Linked DNA regions of Mus musculus. The protein of the gene in region 3 interacts with the protein of the main gene of each other region in a biochemical or structural test. Links are inferred from orthologs where the notes say so. Each region holds a gene or a part of one and is shown on either strand. Other genes may lie near its edges.

What was found.
Region 1: the proteins of Gtf2i (region 3) and Btk form a complex in vitro, tested with the Homo sapiens proteins (4 studies listed by BioGRID and IntAct, with this or other methods). The link is inferred for Mus musculus from reciprocal best matches to the Homo sapiens genes GTF2I and BTK.
Region 2: the proteins of Gtf2i (region 3) and Hdac3 form a complex in vitro, tested with the Homo sapiens proteins (2 studies listed by BioGRID). The link is inferred for Mus musculus from reciprocal best matches to the Homo sapiens genes GTF2I and HDAC3.
Region 4: the proteins of Gtf2i (region 3) and Usf1 form a complex in vitro, tested with the Homo sapiens proteins (2 studies listed by BioGRID). The link is inferred for Mus musculus from reciprocal best matches to the Homo sapiens genes GTF2I and USF1.

What each region holds. Positions count from the first base shown.
Region 1 is NC_000086.7:134,545,141-134,548,640, reverse strand, and holds part of Btk (tyrosine-protein kinase BTK), read left to right. Parts: intron 1-1,014; coding exon 1,015-1,079; intron 1,080-1,810; coding exon 1,811-1,929; intron 1,930-3,001; coding exon 3,002-3,159; intron 3,160-3,500. UniProt on the Homo sapiens protein: Non-receptor tyrosine kinase indispensable for B lymphocyte development, differentiation and signaling. Binding of antigen to the B-cell antigen receptor (BCR) triggers signaling that ultimately leads to B-cell activation.
Region 2 is NC_000084.6:37,936,641-37,942,908, forward strand, and holds the end of Hdac3 (histone deacetylase 3), read right to left. Parts: intron 5,328-6,268; coding exon 5,238-5,327; intron 5,127-5,237; coding exon 5,068-5,126; intron 4,819-5,067; coding exon 4,739-4,818; intron 4,471-4,738; coding exon 4,313-4,470; intron 1,044-4,312; coding exon 974-1,043; 3' UTR 331-973; downstream 1-330. UniProt on the Homo sapiens protein: Histone deacetylase that catalyzes the deacetylation of lysine residues on the N-terminal part of the core histones (H2A, H2B, H3 and H4), and some other non-histone substrates.
Region 3 is NC_000071.6:134,238,133-134,243,114, forward strand, and holds part of Gtf2i (general transcription factor II-I), read right to left. Parts: intron 4,860-4,982; coding exon 4,776-4,859; intron 4,656-4,775; coding exon 4,472-4,655; intron 4,028-4,471; coding exon 3,999-4,027; intron 2,783-3,998; coding exon 2,741-2,782; intron 2,153-2,740; coding exon 2,111-2,152; intron 1,440-2,110; coding exon 1,381-1,439; 3' UTR 1,365-1,380; intron 761-1,364; coding exon of another isoform or gene 696-760; 3' UTR 1-695. UniProt on the Homo sapiens protein: Interacts with the basal transcription machinery by coordinating the formation of a multiprotein complex at the C-FOS promoter, and linking specific signal responsive activator complexes.
Region 4 is NC_000067.6:171,408,138-171,415,190, reverse strand, and holds the start of Usf1 (upstream stimulatory factor 1), read right to left. Parts: upstream 3,879-7,053; 5' UTR 3,751-3,878; intron 3,749-3,750; exon of another isoform or gene 3,329-3,748; intron 819-3,328; exon of another isoform or gene 755-818; 5' UTR 670-754; coding exon 662-669; intron 1-661. Other genes in the region: Arhgap30 (rho GTPase-activating protein 30), read right to left, coding at 5,850-7,053.

The DNA.
Region 1 (3,500 bases), on a different chromosome or scaffold from region 3:
CACTCTTTTCTTGCCCACTTAGCTCCTGGAGGCATCAGTTGTTGCCTCTGTTTCTTTCAGCTAGGTGGAGACTCAAGTTGTCCTATTCTTCCTGCCAGAAAGACCAAAACCAATGCAAACTTGTTGGCTGTTTCTTCTGAGTTCTCTTAGTAGTTCAGTGAAGTGGAGTTGTCCACATGAACGAAATTATTTGCATGCTTGGTTTAGGACTGTGTATCAGGTTGCTCTCCATATGATGGAAATGCAGCAAAATTTCTCAGGATCAGTCAAATGTGTGGCCTCACCCTCATAATCCCAGCCCTTTCAAGATTGAAACAGGAGGATTCCCATGAGTTTGAGGACAGCCTGAGCTATATCCTGAGTTCAGCCTGGAGTACAGAATAAGACTCCCTCCTCCTCGGGCTGGAGAGTTGGCTTAATGGTTAAGAGCACCGACTGCTCTTCCAGAGGCCCTGAGTTCAATTCCCAGCAAACACATGGTGGCTCACAACCATCTGTAATGGGATTGGATGCCCTCTTCTGGCATGTGTGAAGACAGCAACAGTGTACTCACATACATAAAATAAATAAATAAATAAATATTTTAAATAAAAGACCTTCGTTCCCTCTCTTTAAAAAGGCAAGGGAGCTAGCTTTGCTGGTAAAGTGCCTATAGAATTGAAAAAAAACAAAACAAAACAAAACAAAAAACAGAACACCAAGTTCAGATCTCTAGTACCAATATAAAAGCCAGTATAACAATGCATATCTGTAATCCCAGCACTAGGGCACTGGGGAGAGACAGGCAGATCCCTGGAGCTTATTGGCCAGCCTGGCCCAATCAGTGAGCTCTAGGTTCAGTGACGCTGTCTCTAGAGACAAAGTAGAGAGTCATTAAAAAAGACACCTGACATCAACCTCTGGCCTCTATATGCACACACCATACATGTGCATATGCAACTCCATGCTGATGGGCAGAAACTATGTCTTTAACTAAGGTCAAGGATGCAGTCTCACATATCTATTGTACTATAGGCAGCTCGAAACTGTTTGGTAAACGATCAAGGAGTTGTGAAAGTATCTGACTTTGGCCTGTCTAGGTGAGTGTGCCTTTTTCATCTCCCCAGTTTTTATTTATTTTGGCAAAGGGGTTGTGCTATGTGGTCCATGCTGGCCTAACTCATGAGTACTGTTATCTTGCCTTGGCTATCCACGACTGGGATTCCAGGCACGAGACATCACCCCAGCTTTACCCTTGCCTTCATTGCTGGATGTCTCTTTTCCTTTCCTCTTTTTCCTCTGTACCCTTCCCCCCTCTCCATTCTTCTTCTATTTCCCCAGTATCTTATCTTGATCTGCTAAACCCACTGACTTTCCCCCATTACTCCTTCCTTGGTCTAACCTTTATTGGCTCCTGCAGGCTGCAAGAAAGTGGGGAAGAGCCAAAACTGATGGCCCAGGCCTGGAATCCCATCAACTCTAGAGGCTCAAACAGTACCATGATTGAAAATTCAAGACCAGCCTAGGCAATTTAGCGAGACACTGTCTCGATTGTTCCTCAAAAGTACAAAAAATGTTAGAAGTATTTATCATCAGTAGCCTAGCGTGTGCAAGGCCCTAGGTTCAACCACGTAGAAGGTAAATACTTTTCTAAACAGAAAGAAAACAGAGGTTTTGTTAAAAGTAACATTTGTAAAAGGCATTGACTAGCCAGCAGAGACTTTGAGAAAGTAAGTGTGCAGTTGGACAGCCCTTATGGTGTGTGCTGAGAAGACGGGCACACATCAAGCCATCTAAATCTTAATGGTAACAAGTCTTGAATCGCTTGCAGGTATGTCCTTGATGATGAGTACACCAGCTCTGTAGGCTCCAAGTTTCCAGTCCGGTGGTCTCCACCAGAAGTGCTTATGTATAGCAAGTTCAGCAGCAAATCTGACATCTGGGCTTTTGGTAAGTAGATAAGAACATACAGGTGAGGATGCCAATATGGCTTAGTGGGTAAACTGCTTCTCATGCAGCGCTGGCAACCCCAGTTCAATCCTCAGAACCCACAGAAAAGCTGGAATCAATGGAGAAGAATACAGGCATCTGTAATCTCACTATGCCCCCACCAGCAGATAGGAGGTAGAGACCAGTGAATCAAAAGTCGTGGACCTGCTAGCCTGTAGAATGTACCAGAAAAACAGCAAGGCAGACCGTTGTCTCAAACAAGGTGAAAGGTGAAGAGCAACACTTGAGGCTGTTGTCATCTCACTTCCACTGTATGCTGTGGTGCAAGTGCTGGAGCACACACGCGCACACACATGCGCACGCACGCATGCACGCGCACACATGCACAGTGGGGTGGAGGGAGAGGAGAAGAGAGAATATAGCTCAAAGAAGAACATACAGGAAAGTTTAAACTTGTATTCCTCTTGTCATTCATCTGATCCTTGGGTGTTTCTTATGTGTCAGGGACCACAGGGGTTTGTGGGGACAAACACAACCAACTGGACATAATCTCTATCTTCTTAGAAATTACAATCTACCCCCAGGAAACAAAACGTTCATTCTTCAACAGCTTCTGAATACTGATTATGTACTAGGCACTCTGTCAGAGCCTGAAGCTACCAAGACAAACAAGACACAGTCTGTCTCTTCTACGGTAACTAATAATGGGCTAGCGTAGTGCAGCTCTGCTAGCCGTCGGGACAGCCAGGACCGTGGCAGGAGCCTGGACAAATGCAAAAGCCATAGAGGGGAGAAACCAGCATATTCTAATCTTTTTTTTTTTTTTTTTTTTTTTGGTTTTTTCGAGACAGGGTTTCTCTGTATAGCCCTGGCTGTCCTGGAACTCACTCTGTAGACCAGGCTGGCCTCGAACTCAGAAATCCGCCTGCCTCTGCCTCCCCGAGTGCTGGGACTAAAGGCGTGCGCCACCACGCCCGGCTTCAGCATATTCTAATCTTAATGGTTCATCGAGAAGGATTAGGCCCCAAGGATCCCAAGAAAGCTGAGTGTACGTCCCCTTTATATCTCCTAGGGGTTTTAATGTGGGAGATCTACTCCCTGGGGAAGATGCCGTATGAGAGATTTACTAACAGTGAGACAGCAGAACACATTGCTCAAGGCTTACGTCTCTACAGGCCTCATCTGGCATCAGAGAGGGTATATACCATCATGTACAGCTGCTGGCACGAGGTAAGGTTCCCTCTTACACTATTCCCTTGAACTCAGTTTCATATTGAGCTGCCCAGGCCCTGCTCCCCACGGCCACATGTCAGCTGGGCACTGCCTTACAGCTAGCTACACATGCTTTCTCATTCTGGGCTGCACCCCAATCCTCTGATGGCCTTTTCATACCCACCCTGATGAAGTTGTAGTATTTTGGAAATACGGATCATGTTTTACTATTCTAAAAATGCTTTTCTGGGGCTGGGAAATGTAGCTTAATTGTAGGGTAGAGTGCTTACCTAGCATCAAGTACGCCTTTGTTTGGCCTCCAGCACTTCCTAAGCCAGATGTGTGGTGCAGGTGTCTGA
Region 2 (6,268 bases), on a different chromosome or scaffold from region 3:
TTGTACCACTGACAACACCCACAGTTACCATGCCCGACTGGAGACTCCTCCAGGAAGGGGTCTGTGCATGGTACACACAGGATCCAGCTTGTTCCTCAGTCAGTCTGTGAGCAGTTGCTTACATCCAACAGAGCCAAGCACTTACTGGGTTTTATCTCAGGACATCTTTACCAGCTAACATCCTCATCTCAAACACCCATGCTCACATACCTGAAGACATCTTTACCCTTCTCAGGTCAGTAATCTAACTCTTCAGCAGAAATGTCCCATTAATTCCCCATTTGAGGAAACTAATCCATGGTGAATACACACATGGCCTAACTAATAAAGTACTGAGTGAATGGTAACAATTTTATTATACACATCATCATCTGTTTCCTTTTCACATCATACATCGGTAACTAGCAAGAATTAAAATCCCAGAAAGGTACAAAAAAAAAAAAAAAACCAATTGGTTTATTAGATCCAAAACAGTAAAATGGACATAAAGCCAGTTAGAGCTTCACACCCTCTCCTCCTTGCCACTGTACTTCATCTGCAGTTAAGGTTTCAGAGAGCCACGCCTTCCTCCCCTCAGGTTCACCTTGCATGGAAGCAAGAACTGTAGTAGGGGAACCCAGAAGGAAGTCAGAGGTGACTTTAGTACCGTCCAAACTTTCATCTCTAACAGTCTCTGTGTTGGAAGGACAGAAGGAACAAATGAGGGGAAGAGGGGCTGAGGACAGTTGCTGGGGCTCATTACCCATAACGTTCCAGAGACCTGTCCATGTCTCATCCCTGAGAGGGACAATCATCAGGCCGTGAGAGTTTGAGGGAAAGGGGAGTTAATTCTAGAACCACATATGGTTTCCAAACCCTTCACCAGAGTTAGTAAACACCCTGGGGGTACCCAGTTCAGACCTGGGGAAACCATACTTTCCTTCCCACCACAGAGGTGACAAGGAACTCTTGGGGACACAGCATCCATGCTGCTCTAAATCTCCACATCACTTTCCTTGTCGTTGTCATGGTCGCCATCATAGAACTCATTGGGTGCTTCTGGCCTGTAAAACAAGGAACAAGAGATTAGAAACCCACTCTTCAAGTTCCAGACTCCTCCCAGCACCCTCCTCAGAGCCACTTTTCTATGGGAGTCTTCTCCAAAGCCAGTTCCTCTCCTCTTGCTGGCAGGGACTTACTGCAATCCATGTACTCAATAAATGGAGACTCCTGTGTGCCAGGCACTGCCGTAGGCCTTACCAAAACAGCAGAGAATCAGCTAGACTAGATTTCCATACAATCTCTCAAAGCTTACATCATGAGACCAGCAATAACAAAGCTCATGAATGAATACAATAACTTCAAATGGTGGAGTGTTCTACATGAGAAAACTGAGTCTGGTGTGAACAAGAGGGTAACAATGGACCTACAAAATGAGAGACCGTTCTGACAATGAAAGACCTAAATTCTGTGAAGAGGCTGGCCAGGCAAAGATCTCAGGAAAGTCCCACCAAGCCCCAAGAAAACCAAGTACAGAAGTCACAAGGTCCAAGGAAACTGAGCCATTCGAGAATGACAAGGAGGCCAGCAATGCTGGGATGCATGTGGGCAGACAAAAGTAGTCTCAGAAGACGAGTCTGTATGCAGATCTGTATGCAGGGCATGTTCAAACTGTTGCTTCTAAGTACGAGGAGAAGGAAAGGTGTAAGCTGAGACTGATGCAGGGAAGAGTGTCTTAGTTAGGGTTTTACCGCTGTGAACAGACACCATGACCAAGGCAACTCTTATGAGGACAACATTTAACTGGGGCTGGCTTACAGGTTCAGAGATTCAGTCCATTATCATCAAGGTGGGAACATGGCAGCATCCAGGCAGGCATGGTGCAGGAGGAACCGAGTAGGAGCCTTCTACTTCTTCATCTGAAGGCTGCTAGCAGAATACTGACTTCCAGGAAGCTAGAATGAGGGTCTTATAGCCCACACCCAGTGACACACCTACTCCAACAGGGCCACACCTTCTAATAGTGCCACTCCTTGGGCCGAGCATATACAAACCATCACAGAAAGGAAAGGCTGCAAGACTGGCCGGAAGGTATGAGCAGAAGACCAACATGAGGTATGAGTAGAAGACTGGCAGGAAGGGATGCACAAGTGGAAGACTGACATGTCATTAAACTACCAGGGGAGGGAAGTGACAGCAACACAGGGCTCAGAAAGTACTCAATACTGGTTTCCATCTCTTTGAAAACCTTTTCTAAAACAGGCCATTATAAAGTCACAGAAGAGGAGCAAGAGACTAAGGCAGGCAAACAAGGCCATCTCTATCACCTCTAAGAGCCCAGGGTAAAAAGTGAGAAGTCGGTCTCTCAGGGTAACTACAGAACCTAAGAAAGTTACTTGCTCTCTCTGAGCCCTGGGTTCTTCCTCTCGTCATCTGAGGATAAGACCCATCTCTTGGGTTATGCAGAGAGTAGAGCCAGATGTGAACACACAACTATAGAAGAAAAAGCCAAACCCAGACAAAAGGAGAACTTAAAAACAGGTGTTGCTGAACCAACTAAGACAATGGCAATCAGTTTCTAGAAGTCAGGTTTTAGAGGCTTGTAGACAACTGCTAAAGAAAAGATGATTAGATAGAGCCTGAACCAGATATTTAGATACTTCCTCACCCACGCCAGGGAATGGGGAGGTATCCATGAAAGAGGGGGACTGGAAGGTCCCAAGGATTAAGACCAAGTCCAGAGGACAGAAATGGAGGCCAGAATTCTATGACCCAGAATAGACTCTGGAGGAACTGAGAAGTCACCCACAGCAGCAGCAGAGCCAGCTCCAACCTCATGCACAGAAGCTCACAGCAACTCGAGTGGTCTCAGTCTTGTAAATGTATCTGGTCCCTACTAAATATATCTCTTTCCATCTTGATTTCTTTTGACTCTTTTGGGTTCTGTTGTCCTTTCTCATCATTTTCTAGAAATTTCTTCAAGGATTAACAACAAAAAGATCTATACTAATCAGTCCTTATTTCATTCTAGCTATAAATATTTCAACATAGATCCAAGAAAGATAAAGATTATTTACACACACACACACACATACACCTCACTCAATACAGCTCAGAAATCTGGAAAAGTGAACTAAACAAATGTAGAGACCCTATAAAAGAGAATGTAGGCAGTGGTCTACTGGTTCACTGCTCAGGACAGAGTAAAATGCTGGCAAATGGAGAGACAGCTCAGCAGTTAGGTACACTTGCTGCCATAGCAGAGGACCTGGGATCTCTTTCCAGTATCCAAAGAGCAGCTCACAACCATCCTTGACTCCAGTTCCAGGAGATCTGACACCCTATCAAGTACATAATGATGTACATAAATACATGCAAAGTTAAACACCATGCACATAAAATAAATGAATCTAAAAATAAACAAAAGATTTTTTATTTAAAAAAAAAAAGATGTAAGTAAACCACTAAGTTCTTTCTGGAAAATAATTTGGCAGCAAATATGAAAAGTTCTACTGCATGCATATCTCATTTGCCCTAATGGCAACAGCTATGAAAACTGGACCCACTCAAACAAGCATACAGAGAAACATACATAGAGACATACATACATAGAGGGATTCAGTGCCAGTCTTCACTATTTTTGTAGCCACAAAAGAAAGGGAGGGGACGGTGCAGTGGGGTAAATATCCACAAGTGGTAACTGATTACCCTCGCAATCATGTGACCACCACACAATGGAATTATACAACTGAGAAAACACTGATCTACACACACTGACACAGGCAAGTGTAACTCCAAACAACATATAGAAAATATCCTCCCACGGATTAACAAAAAAATGTATAAACAAGCTGGGTAGAGCAAGCAGTCCATGCCTATAATCCCAGCATTTAGAAACCCGAGGCAGGAGGGTATCTGATTTAAAGACCAGCTTGGTCCACACAGAGGAAACCATGTGTCACCCCCCCCCCCAAAAAAAAACCAGCAACAAATCAAGAAAAAAAAAAGCTGTATAAATAAAATTCTGGATATGCACATGTGCATGTAGTATTCTTATAATCTATAGAAAATTATCTATTCAAATAATACATAAATCAAGCCATAAATAACAGCTACTTCCATGGAATAATTCTGGAACTACGTGAACACAACATATTTTGATGTTTATAATATTTTCATATTATTGTTGTTTTGTTCTTAAAAGTGTCAAAAAGAGTAGAAGGCTCGCAGTCTAAAGGAAACCAGCCAGGGCCAGATGAACTTGTGCCTTCTCACTTGGAAGCCTTCTCTGCAAGCCTAAGGAAGCACCTGCCCTCCAGCCCCTGCCCCAGACCTGCTGTAGTTCTCCTCGGGACCTCTCTCTTCAGCGTCGGCCTCGTCAGTCCTGTCATACGTCAGGAGGTCTGCCGGGACATCATGAATCTGGACACTGGGTGCATGGTTCAGCATCTTCAAGTTTTCAAAGATTGTCTGGCGGATCTGGTCCAGATACTAGTTTAGAAGAAAGAAAGTCAGCGGTGTTGGGGTGATTCCTATAGTACAGGAAATCCTACCCACCTTCGTCCCTGACCGTCCTGATCTAAGGTAGTATTTCAAGGTCAGATCCTCAGTTGGCAACTGTCCCTCCCCAACAACCCCACGATAAGATCGACAGTGACAGCCCAGAAATTCTTTCTCTTGCTCTCTCCACTTCCCCCCTCCTGGACCTCTCCTGAACCCCCCCCCCCATTGCTGTGTCCAGCCTCTCCAAGCTGCTAACCTGGCGTGAGTTCTGATTCTCGATGCGGGTGCTGACATCTGGATGGAGTGTGAAATCTGGGGCAAAGTACTCGAAGTATTCTTAGAGATGAGAAGCAATTGGGAGAGGGGATGAACAAGAGTATGGCTGAGACACCAGAGTGAATCCCATGGCTTTCTGATCTCCTCTCCGAGGCCTGGTCCCCATGTGTAAGAGTATTTGCTCTGCTCTGAGCACAGGGATTTAGTCTGCAGAGCTACCAGAAGGTGCAATTTCCCTCCAAACAAGGTCATTCTGAGGACTGGTGAGAATGGTGTCCCCCTGTGGTGGCATCATGAAGTGGATCTTACCACTATAGGGAAGTTCCTCACTAATGGCCTCTTCTACCAGCAGAGATGTTTCATATGTCCTGAAACCAGCAAGCAGAGGGGTTTGGGTTGATGGCGTGGGCTGAAAGGACCACCCCTCCAATTTTAGGGAGTCTGTCGTGAACCACAGAGTAGTAGAACAGAACACTCACCAACACCGGGCAACATTTCGGACAGTGTAGCCACCACCTCCCAGTACCAGGAGAGGGATATTGAAACTCTTGACATATTCAACACATTCCCTGTTAGAAACAAGAGGACTAGGTAAATCTAAGACATGTGACCCCAGACATGACTGGAAATATTGTACAAAGACTTGACCAACAATATTTCTCTGTCATATTGTGTAGTATAACTCAAAGTTGCATTCTTTGTGTGTGACTACTTGTATAAACGGGTTTGTCTTCACATGTGTGCCAGTGCATGTGTGTCTGAGGATGTGTGCATGTATGTTCACACATGTATACAAGGGCTAGAAGACATTTTCATGTGTTGGCCTAAAGATACTAGCCACCTTTTTTTTTTTAACCTGGCACTTGCCAAGTAGGCTAAGCTGGCTGGCTACCAAGCCCTATGAATCTTCTGGTCTCTGCTTCACCAGGGCTGGGATTACAGATCATAAATGGGTGCCACCGGGCCTAGTGTTTTTACATGAGTTCTGGGATCAAACTCAAGTCTTCATTCTGTATAGCAAGCACTTTTACTGAGTGTGCTAGTCACCCTGTCCCCACCTGGCTCTGAGCTATATGCTACACACACACACACACACACACACACACACACACACACACACACACACACAAACACACAAATGAACAAATAAAAATACTAGCGTACTTTACTGTGTTGTGTCTCAGTGAACATTTTAAAATAAAGCACACCCTCACGGCCTTGCTTACTACTCTCCGCCACACCTGGCCTGCTACCCAACTACTCCCATCGGTGTCGCCACCAGAATGTCTGTTCTAAGCTTCAGGACATACCTTCATACCTCGTACTTCTCTCCATCAACACATGCCCTGCCCAAATAATGTGATTGGCTTCCTAACTGGCTGCCCACTACCCACCCTGACCCCAACTCCCACACCAACCCTTTCTTCATTTAGCAGTCAGAACAGTAACTCTCAAACTCATTGGACCCTGTCACTTCCCTGTTTAAGATCCTTCAACGGTTTTCTATCAC
Region 3 (4,982 bases):
GCCTGACTCGACCCAGACCCAGAGCTGCGGCCCAGAGCCCCTGAGGCCACTGTGGGTCCCAGTTGGGGAGGGGCAAATCCTCCACCTGCTCAAGCATGCAGACCTGACCTCTGACCTTTAGGACACACCCAGAAATCTACTTGCTGTAAAGTAACCGGAGCGAGGCTCTGAGGCTAGCCTCTCCAGCTGCACTGCACGGATGCACTGGCTGCTCACTGGCGGTCAGGCGAGCTGGCCGGCTTTGCTCTGAATGGCAGTGAGGACAAAGGAATCGTGATGGAGCTTGGGAAGAGGCTTAGTCACACACACAGACAGCAGCCCTCCCCTGGCAGGAGGGGCAGCCGAGTGCAAGACCACGGAACTGGTCTTCAATAGAAAAACTAAAGCACTGACTAGCACAGGGACTTCCTTTGCTGCGGAAGCCAAGATGCCCTGTAGGAATATCTCACTGACGGGAACACGCACCACAGCCCAAGGCTCTGCCCGATGCATAAGAAACCCTACGAGTCGTCCCTGCCATTCCCGCCTCTTTCAGCACTGCTGCAAGACCCTTCTAGTGCGTTCCCAAGCCACCAGGCACGCGCATCTCATCACGCTGTGTAGCTCAATTCACAGAACTGCTGAGAAAGTAGACATTTCTATCTAAAAGTAGAAAAGAAGGTTTGTATAGAAGGTATTTCTGTTATACAAGTATATTACAGAGCTGGCAGGAACGGGTCCCAAAGCTCTTCTCCACCACGCACGCTGGACACTGGACGAACTGCAGAGAGAACAAACACGCAGGCAGTGGGTGAGTCAGATGGCAGGGGCATGACAACCTCCTGTCACACACCCTGTTCCATCTGACAGACATGCAGGCCCAAGTGCACTTGTGAAAGACGGCAAGGCCTAAGCCTGTGATCTGACACGGTCAGGCACATCACCAAGGCTGCCAGGCAAAGCCCATCACAGCAGACTGCAGTCTCCTCACTTGCGGGTCACTGCAGCCCACCTCTTGGTGGCAAGTCAGCAACTGATGGGGCTGGGCTTGTGACCGGCCTAAAGAGGTCAGCCAGAGAGGAGGCAACCTTGGCATACAGACTCAAAACAAACATGTCCCTTTAAGGAATACTACCTCTGTATTACCCTACCCCACCCCAAGACAGACAGGGTCTCACCACGGAGCCTGGCTGGCCTGGAACTTACAAGAGACCCACCTATCTCTGCCACCTCACTCATCTTGGCTACATCTTTGAGTGAGAAAAACCTTTGGGCCTTATGTCCCCTGAGGGTGGCCTCATCTCACAGCCAGAGCAGAAGGGATGTGTCTGCACATCAGCTTATAAGTGGGCATGGATGAAGGGCAGCTAGAGCGAGGCTCTTACCCTGGAGAGCCACGGTCTACCACGTGGGGTCTGGCTCCTGCTTGATCTGTGAACTCCCATCTGTCTCTTTAATTTCTACAGAAGAAACAAAGGGGTAACAATGAGCTGTACCACTGGTGCAAACCTGCTTGCCAGTAAGACTAGCCATATGAACCTGCTAAGATCTGCACGAAGCCGTTCCATGTGGCTTCTGCATAAAGTGCTCTTGTTACGGGATCTGGGCCTTACAAATGCCTGCCAAGTGTTCTTCTATTGAGCCATGTCCAGCTCATGCCTGATTCCCAAGTAACAGATTCCATATTGTTTTGGGTGTATTTACCATCATGCCTTGTCTAAGCTATAGGGATCTAGAGTTTAGTCAGAGCCACACGGGGAGAACAGAGAGGAAGTCTGCCTTCTTCACTGGACAGTGTTCATGGTAGAAATCTTATCAATTTAGGGCTGGAGAGGTGGCTCAGCAGTAAGAGCACTGGCTGCTCTTCCATAGGACCAATATGAGTTCAATTCTCAGCACCCACATAGAGGTTCACAACCATCTGTAACTCTTATTTCTGGGGGTCTGATGCCCTCTTCTGGCTTGGGTACTATATACACATATAAGTAGGCAAAACACTCATACATATTAAAAAAAAAAATTCCAATCAACTCACTAAGAACAAAGACACAGAGCATCACCGTGAGCACAGTCACACTGTCCCAAGGTGTCGGTCACTAAGTCTGTTCGCTGGCAACAGCGCAGCTCTTACCTTCTGTTACTGGGACTTCCAACTGGCTTGCCTCGGCTGATTCTAAAGAGAAACATATCAAGTGTCATTGAATGGCTTTCAAAAGTTATTATTTAAAGAGCCTTGAAGCAGAGGAGGAGGAAGAGGAAGGAGAACACCCAATGATAGTAACAGCCTGCCAACTTCTTTTTTATTGTAATTATTTGGTTATTTTGTCTGCATGTGTGTCTGTACTGTGCACATGTCTGGAGCCTTAGGAGGCCCTGGAGACGGAGTTAAACGACAGTTTAACTTAACTAAAAGGCTGCTACGTGGGTGCTGGGACTCGAATCAGGGTCCTCTGGAAGATCAGGACCAATGAGCCATCTTTCTAGTGCAAGCCCGTCAGCTGCTGCCCTCCACATACGCATGTGCACACCCCGCATAAGCACACACTTACAGGCAGACTTCTCCCTGGTCATGAGCACCAAGATATCATGAATAACCTGGGATCGTGGGTTTACAAGGTCTGTGGCTTACAACTGCCACTCGGGACCCACGGCTCAAGTCTCTGCAAAGCTAAGTGTATGCAGTGACTATAAGCAGGTACAGCAGGAGCCACGGGCTTGGGGCAACCATGTAAGTAGTATGTACCCCACGCTCTCCTCTCACCTTGTATCACAGGGCCTTCAGACTCGTTCTGATCAACCAGCTCTGCAATGAAAGGCACAGTTTAGACGGCTTACTAACACACGTGACATCCAACCATGCGGACGACAGACAGGCTTAGCAGGTAAAGGTGCCTGCCTGCCTGCGAACCTGACAGACAGTTCAGTCACTGGGCCCCATACGACGGAAGGAGAGAACCGAGGAGACAAGCTGTCTTGTAACCACTGACCATGAAATGATCCGAGGACCCCAGGACCCCGCATGCTAAGAAAGGGTAAAGACGAACACCAAAGGAAGGGACAGCAGTGGTCCTGGCTAGATGCCACCAGAACCATGGCTTTCAGTGGTCAGCACACACGGGAACCAGAGTCCTGCACAAGGACAAGAATAAAACTCAGCAACAGAGACAGGAACCTACAAGCAGGGGCTTGGACATAATATTCTTCAGAAATGAAAACTATACACAGAACAGGAGTGCTGGCCATGGTGGCACATCTTTAATGTGGGACTTAGGAGGCAGAGGCAGGGGAATGTCTTTGAGTTCTAGGCCACCCACAGTGATCTCTATGGTCACCCACAGTGACCTGAATTTTCAAAAAGACAGATGAACTGAAATTTGCAAGGAAAATTCAACAAAAGAATTAATTACAGAGTGTGTGAAGTCTGTGTGAGCACGCGTGCCACGGTGTGCACCTGAAGGCCAGGGGACAACTCTGGACTCGGTTCTCACCTTCCATCATTACGTGAGCCCCGGGACAGAAGTCAGCTTGCTGGGTGTCCATCACCAGCCCTCTCTCCCTCCCTTTCTTTTTGGGGATAGGGTCGCTTGTGGCCCAGGCTGGCCTTAGACTGTCTACAGCAGACAGTGCTGATCAGCCTGATCCTCCTGCTTCCGCCTCCCAAGCACTGGAACTGCTCGTTTCCCTCCCTGTGCCTGGCACTTTGATGCTGTTTAGGGGCCTACAGTCCCCTGAGCTCTAGTGTATGGAGTCAGGGTAACAGAGCTGCAATGGCAGCAGCTTTCCAAGTCCGGCCTATAGTGAGCCCTTTAAAACGGTCTCAGCCCACCCGAGTCACCATTTCCTCACTAAGAGACAAGCAATGCTAATTTCACAAGCAGGCAGGGTGCTGAGAACGGGTGACATAATGGGTGACAAATGGTGTTATCCTGCAGGCCCCACCACACCCAACACCCACAGACACACTCACATGCACTCCCAGATCCCCAGAAACCAAACAAACAAAAGAAAGCTGTACTCACGGTTATTAATCACAAGTCCTGGAAATGGTCTAAAGAGAAAAACAAATTGTATAATGTAAGGCTTTTGTTTTACATGAACATTTGCCTAACTTGCTAATCTATGCCACGTATGGCCTATCCTGTGGAGGAGACATACAAGATGTCCATGAAATGACTGTAACACTGTGTAACAATGACTCCTGTTCTGTTATTAATGCATATCATACACAATGTATGTATCAGTTATTTGTAATTAGTCACATGTAGTATGTGCTATGTATAGTACACATGCCAATGTAATGTTACCTATGTTTTTGGGGTGTGGGGGTTTCTCTGTGTAGTTCTGGATATCCTGGAACTCCCTGAGATCCACCTGTCTCTGCCTGCTCTCTGCCCACACGCTTCAGTTCAGACTCCACACAACAGCACTCTGGGATATGACCTAGCCGTGAGGCCTCCAGCCTTGTCCTACTGACTAAGCGATAGCGTCTCACCTAATGACAGTGAACTTGATAAACTCCGCAGAGTCTAAGATCCTCCTCATGGAGCTGATCTCCAGGTAACTGGGGGCTTTGAAGGACACCCCGGGGGGCATGCCATCGACCACCACGCAGCCAGGGTTGATGGTGATCTTCCTGTAGGGGACCTTCACCGGGAAGCCCATCCCAATAGCTTCACCTGCAGCGAGACAAACAGCACAGGGCCAGTGTGACCCTTCATCTTCAAAACAAGCGGAGACACAGAGCCGAGCAGCGACTGGCCCTGTTTCCTTAGTATCCTCTATTCTTACAAACTTACCAAACTTCCGACTGAAGAGGTCGTTGACCTGCTCCCGCAGCTGCCTGGCCTTTTCAACTTTGGACAGTCGTTCATTATCGTCATCTAAAAGACGGGAGAAAAGCAGGGAGCACACTTAACATCTAACTCACATGTCTTCTGGGAAGAATTTCTAAGCCAGGTGTGGTGTACTTGCTGTGGCCCAGCTAAAAACGATTTTACTTTTGT
Region 4 (7,053 bases), on a different chromosome or scaffold from region 3:
AGTAATAACTAAGTATCTACCATGTACATAGACACCAAGCTATAAGCACTTTTTTTGTTTGTTGGTTGGTTGGTTTTATTTTGTTTTTCAAGAAAGTGTTAGGGCTGGCGAGATGGCTCAGTGGTTAAGAGCGCTGACTGCTCTTCCAAAGGTCCCGAGTTCAAATGCCATCAAACATATGGTGGCTCACAACTATCTGTAACGAAATCTGATGCCCTCTTCTGAAGTGTCTGAAGACAGCTACAGTGTACTTACATATAATAAACAAGCAAACAAACAAAACAAAAAAAGGACCATTTCTACATCTTAAAAAAAAAAGAAGAAGAAAGAAAGAGTTTTTTTCTGGGTAGCTCTGGCAGTCCTGGAACTTGTTGTGTGGAGCAGGCTAACCTTGGATTCAGAGATAAGACTGCCTCTGCCTCCTGAGTGCTGAGATTAAAGGCATCCACCCCACCCCCCACCCCAGCACACCATCTTGATGCTAATAACAGTGACTAGCACCACAGTTTTATAGATAGAGAAACTAAATCACAGAGCTGGTAAGTGTTGGAGCTGGGTACCTGAACCCAGATCTCCCGAATCCAATGTTCTTAGTCATTCTGCATTAATTCTGCATTCTCCAGGCCATCCCTCCTCTGCCCAGACATCCCTCTTCACTTACCCCTTCATCTCTCTGTGAGGGGGCTCATCCGAGGCGCCGGTCTTTTTTCGGAGGACTTTGTATCTCCCAACTCAAAGGCCTGAATGCTAAGTCCTGGTGGAAACCACAGAGTTTGCAGTGAGGCCAGGCAACTGAACAGCTTTCCAGGTTCTAGAACCTAGGTTCCAAGAAGACACAGCCAGGAAGATAAACCAAGCATCCGCAAAGGACAGTCAACTCCCCCAATTCTGATGGCAAGGGCTAGTCTGCAGTGACTGAAGAAGCAACTCTTCACGGGACATGGAGGCTCACTCCTGGGAGCCTAACACTCAGGGGAAGGAGACAGGAACGGTGCGAGTTTGAGGAGAAAAAGGACCAAGTGTGCTTGCTCATGCCCGTAATACCAATACTTAGGAGTTCAAGGCCATCCTGGGGTGCAAAGCTAGTGTCACGCTAGGCTGGGCTACAAGAACTTGTCTCAAAATAAAATAAAACAAAACTGGGAGATTGGCTCAAACAGCACTCGCAATGGAAGTCTCACTCGGAATGAAGGTAACACCCGAGTCCTAAAACCTATAGAAGAGAGGAATGCAGCATTGAGAGCATGTGTAATCACAGGGCGCCTGATGGAGAGCTGGAGATGAGAGAATCTCTACAAGCGGGGCGCCAGCCACTGTCTCCAGCAACGTGGAAAGACAACAACTGACCCCCTACGGCTCTCCTCTGACCAAAAGAAAAGCTAGGAGGGCTCAGCAGGCAGGGCGTGGTGGCAATGCCTGATTCAAGCACTTGGGAGCCAGGCACGTGGATCTCTGAGTTCAAGGCCAGCCATGGCTACAGAGTTCCAGGATGACCAGGGCAACCTAGAGAATCCATATCTCAAAAAACAAAACAAAAAAAACAACCTCCTCCCCTCAAAGAGGCAAAAACTAACTTGTGAAAGCTGTTTATCACAGCGTCCAGCCCACCACACACATGCATGTGCACACACACACACCAAAACTTTTCTCTCTTCCTTCCTTCCCCCCCAACCCCGCTTCTCTCTTTCTGAGACAGGGTTTCTCTTGTAGCCCTGGCCGTCCTGGAACTCACTCTGTAGGCCAGGCTGGCCTCTGAACTCTCAGAGATCCTGCCTGCTTCTGCCTATCTAGTGCTAGGATTAAAGGCATGGGTCGCCACCACCCAGCTGCTCCTCCATTTTCATTCCAACTCCTGGGGGGAGGAGTAGACTGTGAAACAATGTCTGGGGTGCATGGCTGAGGCTATTGTGGATTGTTACTAAAGCTATTATACTCTATGTCAGCAGCTTCACAGGAAAAGCTAGAGCAAAGTTTAGACCACCACTATCAAAACCAGTAACTAATAACCCCCCCACCCACACACTCCCTCACACACTCCCTGATTCTTCTTCCAGCTTCTCCAACACAAACTGTACGAAAAGAAATCTGAAGCTGGGAGGTGGTGATGCCAGCCTTTGATCCCAGCACTAAGAAGGCAGAGGCAGGCAGATCTCTGAGTTCAATGCCAGCTTGGTCTACAGAGTGAGTTCCAGGACAGCCAAGGTTATGTATAGAGAGGTCCTGTTTCAAAATCAAATAAGAATAACAAAAAACAAATTCCAGTCCTCAAATCTAAGAAGAGGAAAACTGAAACCTTTTTTGCTATTGGGAAACCATCACTAAGCATAAAACCCAGGTTTGGCTCTTGGATACTACTCCGCTGTCGGGGCTCTTGTTTTGAGAGAGTCCAGATTTACAGCATCTGTTACAAACACCAGTGCCCAAGTGCATCATGTTCAAGGCTTCTTTATTTTATCCAGCAAGGCTTCCTGTAGAGCAACATAGTTGCTAAAATGTTGCCATGACAACTCCAAATCAACTAAGCCTCAGGAGGAGGGGGGGAAAGAAAACCTCCAGGCTCAGGGTTCTGCAGGAGAAAAGACAAAGGGGGAGGAATCCATCTACAATGTTCCTGCCTTAGGACTTTTGACAACCAGCCAGAGAACGGGAAAAAACAAAGAACTGTACAGACAGATGCCACCAGAAAGAAACAGCTGCATAGGACAAAGCAATAAAATAATCTCAACAAGAAAGGACAAGATTTTTTTTAAACACTCTACCCGCAAGATCTTCCAAACCTTTCTAATCAAAGAAAAACCTTAGTTTAGCGGATAATGCGCCTCGGAAAGACCGTGTGCAAAGAAGAACGTTAACAACAATAACAAAAGGGAACTGAAAGTGAAACTGTCCGTAGAAAGTAAGGCTGCAAAGGGAGGCAGCGTCCGGATGTACGGACCACCTAGGGGGTCTCCATCCTCAAACAGGAGGAAGAGCTCCTCCTGAAGCTCCTGGCACGGCCTGCAGGAGGAGGCTATGAAAGAGACTGCAAGGCGCACGAGACAACCGTATAGCCAACAGCTGTCAGCGCAACTTCTGAGGCTACCCAGAAACGGCGGTAGGCTCCTTACTCAAACCTTGGTTGTATATCCGGAAGCATCCTGAGCATTAATAATACGTGATACGGAAATCAGCCTAGGATTTTGTGGTTTTGCATGCTCAAAAGGAGAGCCCAGCAAACGTCCTCACCAAGCACAGACGCAAAGGCAGAAATTTAAAAAACAAAACACCCCCCACCACCACCCACACACAAAAACCAGATCAAGTTCCCAAAGACTTCAAGCGCCCGGACCTTGCCCGAGAACGACGCGTCTCCCTGCAGGCCCACCGACTAGTAGTAGGCGCTTGGGGACCTGAGTACCCGGCAGGCGCGAGCCCCGCAGCCCGCGCGGTGACCCCGCCGGTCCCAGCCCAGCTCGCCTGCGCCCCAGCTGCTCCGCGGAGGAGAGACGGGGAAAGGACGCCGGGGACCTTCCCGGGCCTGCGGCTCGAAGCTGGATACCCACCGCAGGCGGCTGGGACGTGTGCACACCGGGGCGGGGAGCGAGCTCGGCCCACAAAGCAGGAGAGAAAGAGCCGGGCACGGCCCCCTCCCCCAAAACAAAGGCTCCGTGCCCAGGCGTGGCCTGGCCTGGGAAACGCCAGCCAAAGCAAAGGTGCCCCGCCATGCCGATCCACCGGCGTCCGGACTCCGGCCGGCTCCGACGCACTCACCGGGCCAGGCCGCTTCAGTCGCCGATTTCCCCCGGCAGCCTTCTCCGTCTTTGGATCTAGGTCTCTCCATAGACAGCTGCTCATGCGCAGTCCCAGCCTGCGGCCATGTTGGTGAGGGGCGGAAGTGTGCCCTCGACCCGCCCAGCCGACGGACGGCCCCCCGAGCTGCCACACTTCCGCTCGCTTCAAATCTGATGCCCGCTAGAGCGGATGTGGGTACGTGAGTGGTCGCAGGCTCTGAAGGGAAACAGACGGTATCCTTGGGGACCTCGCTAGAGGCCTTTGTTTTCAGTAAGAACCAGGAAAAAAAAAACCCGACTAAATTGTACTTCCATCCTTGTGGTAGGCGGAGCCCTTTTACTTCCAGTAAAAGGAAGTAGAGGGTGGAACGGCAATCTTAGGCGCCATCTTTCATAAGGGCAATGTGGGACGCCATCTTGGATCAGGGCATCACTTTGAGGGGGTTCCAAGTGGACTTTGGGACATTTCTGAGTGTACGTGGATCTGGGTATATACCTTTGTATTAACGTCAGCAATACTCCAAAGACCTCATAGCTTTTCCTCAGGCTCTTAAATACGTGTGGGGACGAGTTTGATTACCATTTTCTTCATTCTGGGTGTACCCAGAGTGATTTTGGAATAGTGAAGTATAATAGCAATAGCTAGAATTCAGATTCTGAAGCCATTCAGACTCTGAACTGACACTTTTTTTTTTTTTTTTTTTTTTTTGCGATAGGGTATTTCTATGTAGTCCTACATAAACTATGCTGGACTCGAATACACATAGATCTCTCCACTCCCAAGTGCTAGGATTAAAGACAGCCACCACACCTAGAAACTAACACTTCTTAACTCTGAGGTTTTTGATGGGCATTTTTACTTAACTACAGCTCAATTTCTTTGTAAAACGGAAATACCAATACCAACTTCACATCAAGTGGATTAAATAAATTCAAGAGCAAAGTTTTTATGCACACAAATCTGGCCCAATTCCTGGCATTAGATGAACATTATGTAAATACAGGTTTCTCTTCCTCATTTCTTGACCACCATGAACCCAGTTCTACTTTCTAGCTACAGTTTCCCATGACAACTGAGGAAGAATATCTAAATAAGAAAAAACAAGATATATACATTTTGGCAACTTTGGAATGTGATACCATTCACCCAAAACTTTAATAAGACAAAGTACATACACTGTTTAAATGTTAAAAAAAAAATTCAGCTTTTATTATCAAATACCCACCATTGCTAAATGGTGGCCTGTAGCCCCAGCCTGTGCAGAGACAGTGCTAGAGCCAAATTGAGTGACATTCCCTCTACTTTTCTTTTCCTTTTTCTTTTCTTTCTTTATTTATTTTATGTATATGAATGAGTACACCATTGCTCTCTTCAGACTCACCCGTAGAAGGCATCAAATTCCGTTACAGATGGTTGTGAGCCATCATGTGATTGCTAGGAATTGAACTCAGGACCTCTGGAAGAACAGTAGGTGCTCTTAACCTCTGAGCTATCTCTTCAGCCCAACATTCCCTTTTCCTAAAATGGGAGGACCTCTTCTGCAAAATAATTGAAGGTAGAGGATGCCACCCATTTCCTTCAGCAAACACTGAGGACTTTAAAGAGCTTCTTGGATGTTTCTCCTACTCTGAAACTAAAGAGGGTCAGAAGACAGCCAAAAATCTAGGAACAAATCAGGGGTGAGCTATTCTATATCTGGTCCTATATCTCCCACATCTACAGTAGGCTTCTGTGAAGAGATATTCACAGCTCAGAATAGGGCAAAAGTTTGGCTGAAATTCCCCCACTGTATTTAAATTTAAGAAAAAAAAAAGCTTTTACCTACCCTATGTTTTTGTTAACTCCCTGGAAACAAGATTGTTCTATGTTTCTTAAGACTCTGCTAAGACATAAGTGGCTTTGTGTCTAACACAAACATAAGTAAATCCACCAAGTCTGTACCTCTCATGGTCAAAACAAGAAGCTGGAGGACCCAAGCCTATGGAATTAGACATCTCAGCTGCCGAGGCAGCAAAGACAGCTAGGCAAGTGCTCCAGAGATTGGTGATGATTTCTTGGTTCCTCTTGTCCTGTCCTAATCATACCCCTTCATCTTTCCCATGATTAGTCTGTGTTTCAAAAGCATATGTCTGGCGCTGAGGGGCCACAAGAGGGACAACAGGGTGAAGCTCTCTAGGGGGCAGACTAAGCCGACTCCTGGGCTCAGACCCCTCTGTGCCTTCAGGTGGGCGTTCCAAACAGCTAAGGGGCCGGGAAGAATGGGCAAGGATCATGCTACAAGGAGGGGTTCTGGAGCTGAGACTATAATCCCCACCTCCAGTACAGGTCTGGGTCCGCAGAACTCCCTGAGACTCGGTCCTCTGGCGTTCCCGGGCCAGGGCCACAGCAGCATCAAAAGAAAGACTGCCCCCATTCCTCCAGGAAGCTCGAGAACCCCAAGCTTTTTCTCCAGGAGTCCCATCAAGCCTACCAGGCCTTGGACATGGGCTTGCAGGTGCTACATGGATCTTGCTACACATTGCACTGGGCATCTTGGCAAACTGTGGTTTGGGGGGCACTACAGGGACAGAGCGGACCTGTCGGACCTGAACTAGGGTGGAAGCCAGACGCATGCCCACACCACCAGCTGACCCACAGGGACAAGAATACAGGTCACATGTCTCAGGATTAAGCTGTCCCTCAGCCTCCATGCCCTCTGGTTCAGATGGCTGTAGCGGGGCTTGTTTCATCTCAGAGGTCTGTTCATTGATTTCTTCTGTACTGTCAACCCTCAGTAACTCGACACCTGGCCCTTCAGAGAGGGCCCCCTCTTCTAAGTGGTCACCAACACCTCTCATGACTTCAGTTTCTACGTCTATACTTTTTTGTTCCTTGCTGAAAACCCCTTCCTTCCTATCATCACCCTCTTCTGGACTTCCACTGTCTTCACTGTGTCCTTGGTCTTCTCTTGACTTAAGGTCACTCTTCCTCCTCAGCTCTTTGGTCTCACTCTCTCTGCCTTTCTCAGCCTCATGCTTGTGGACAACTTCCCAGCTCTCCTCAAGAACCAGGTCTTCCTGGAACACATGCTCTGGATCCATATCAGAGTCTACTGGGGTGTCATCTCCTTTCTCAGCTCCTTCTTCTCTCCCAATCTCTCTCTCCTCATCTTTACCCGGTTCTCCTATTATTTTTTCCACATCCTTGGTCTCCTTTATACTTTCAACCTCTCGACCTTCGGAATTTTCTTCCTTGGCCTCTAGCTCTTCCCTACTCCCTTCTTTAAAACTATCCATCACCTTT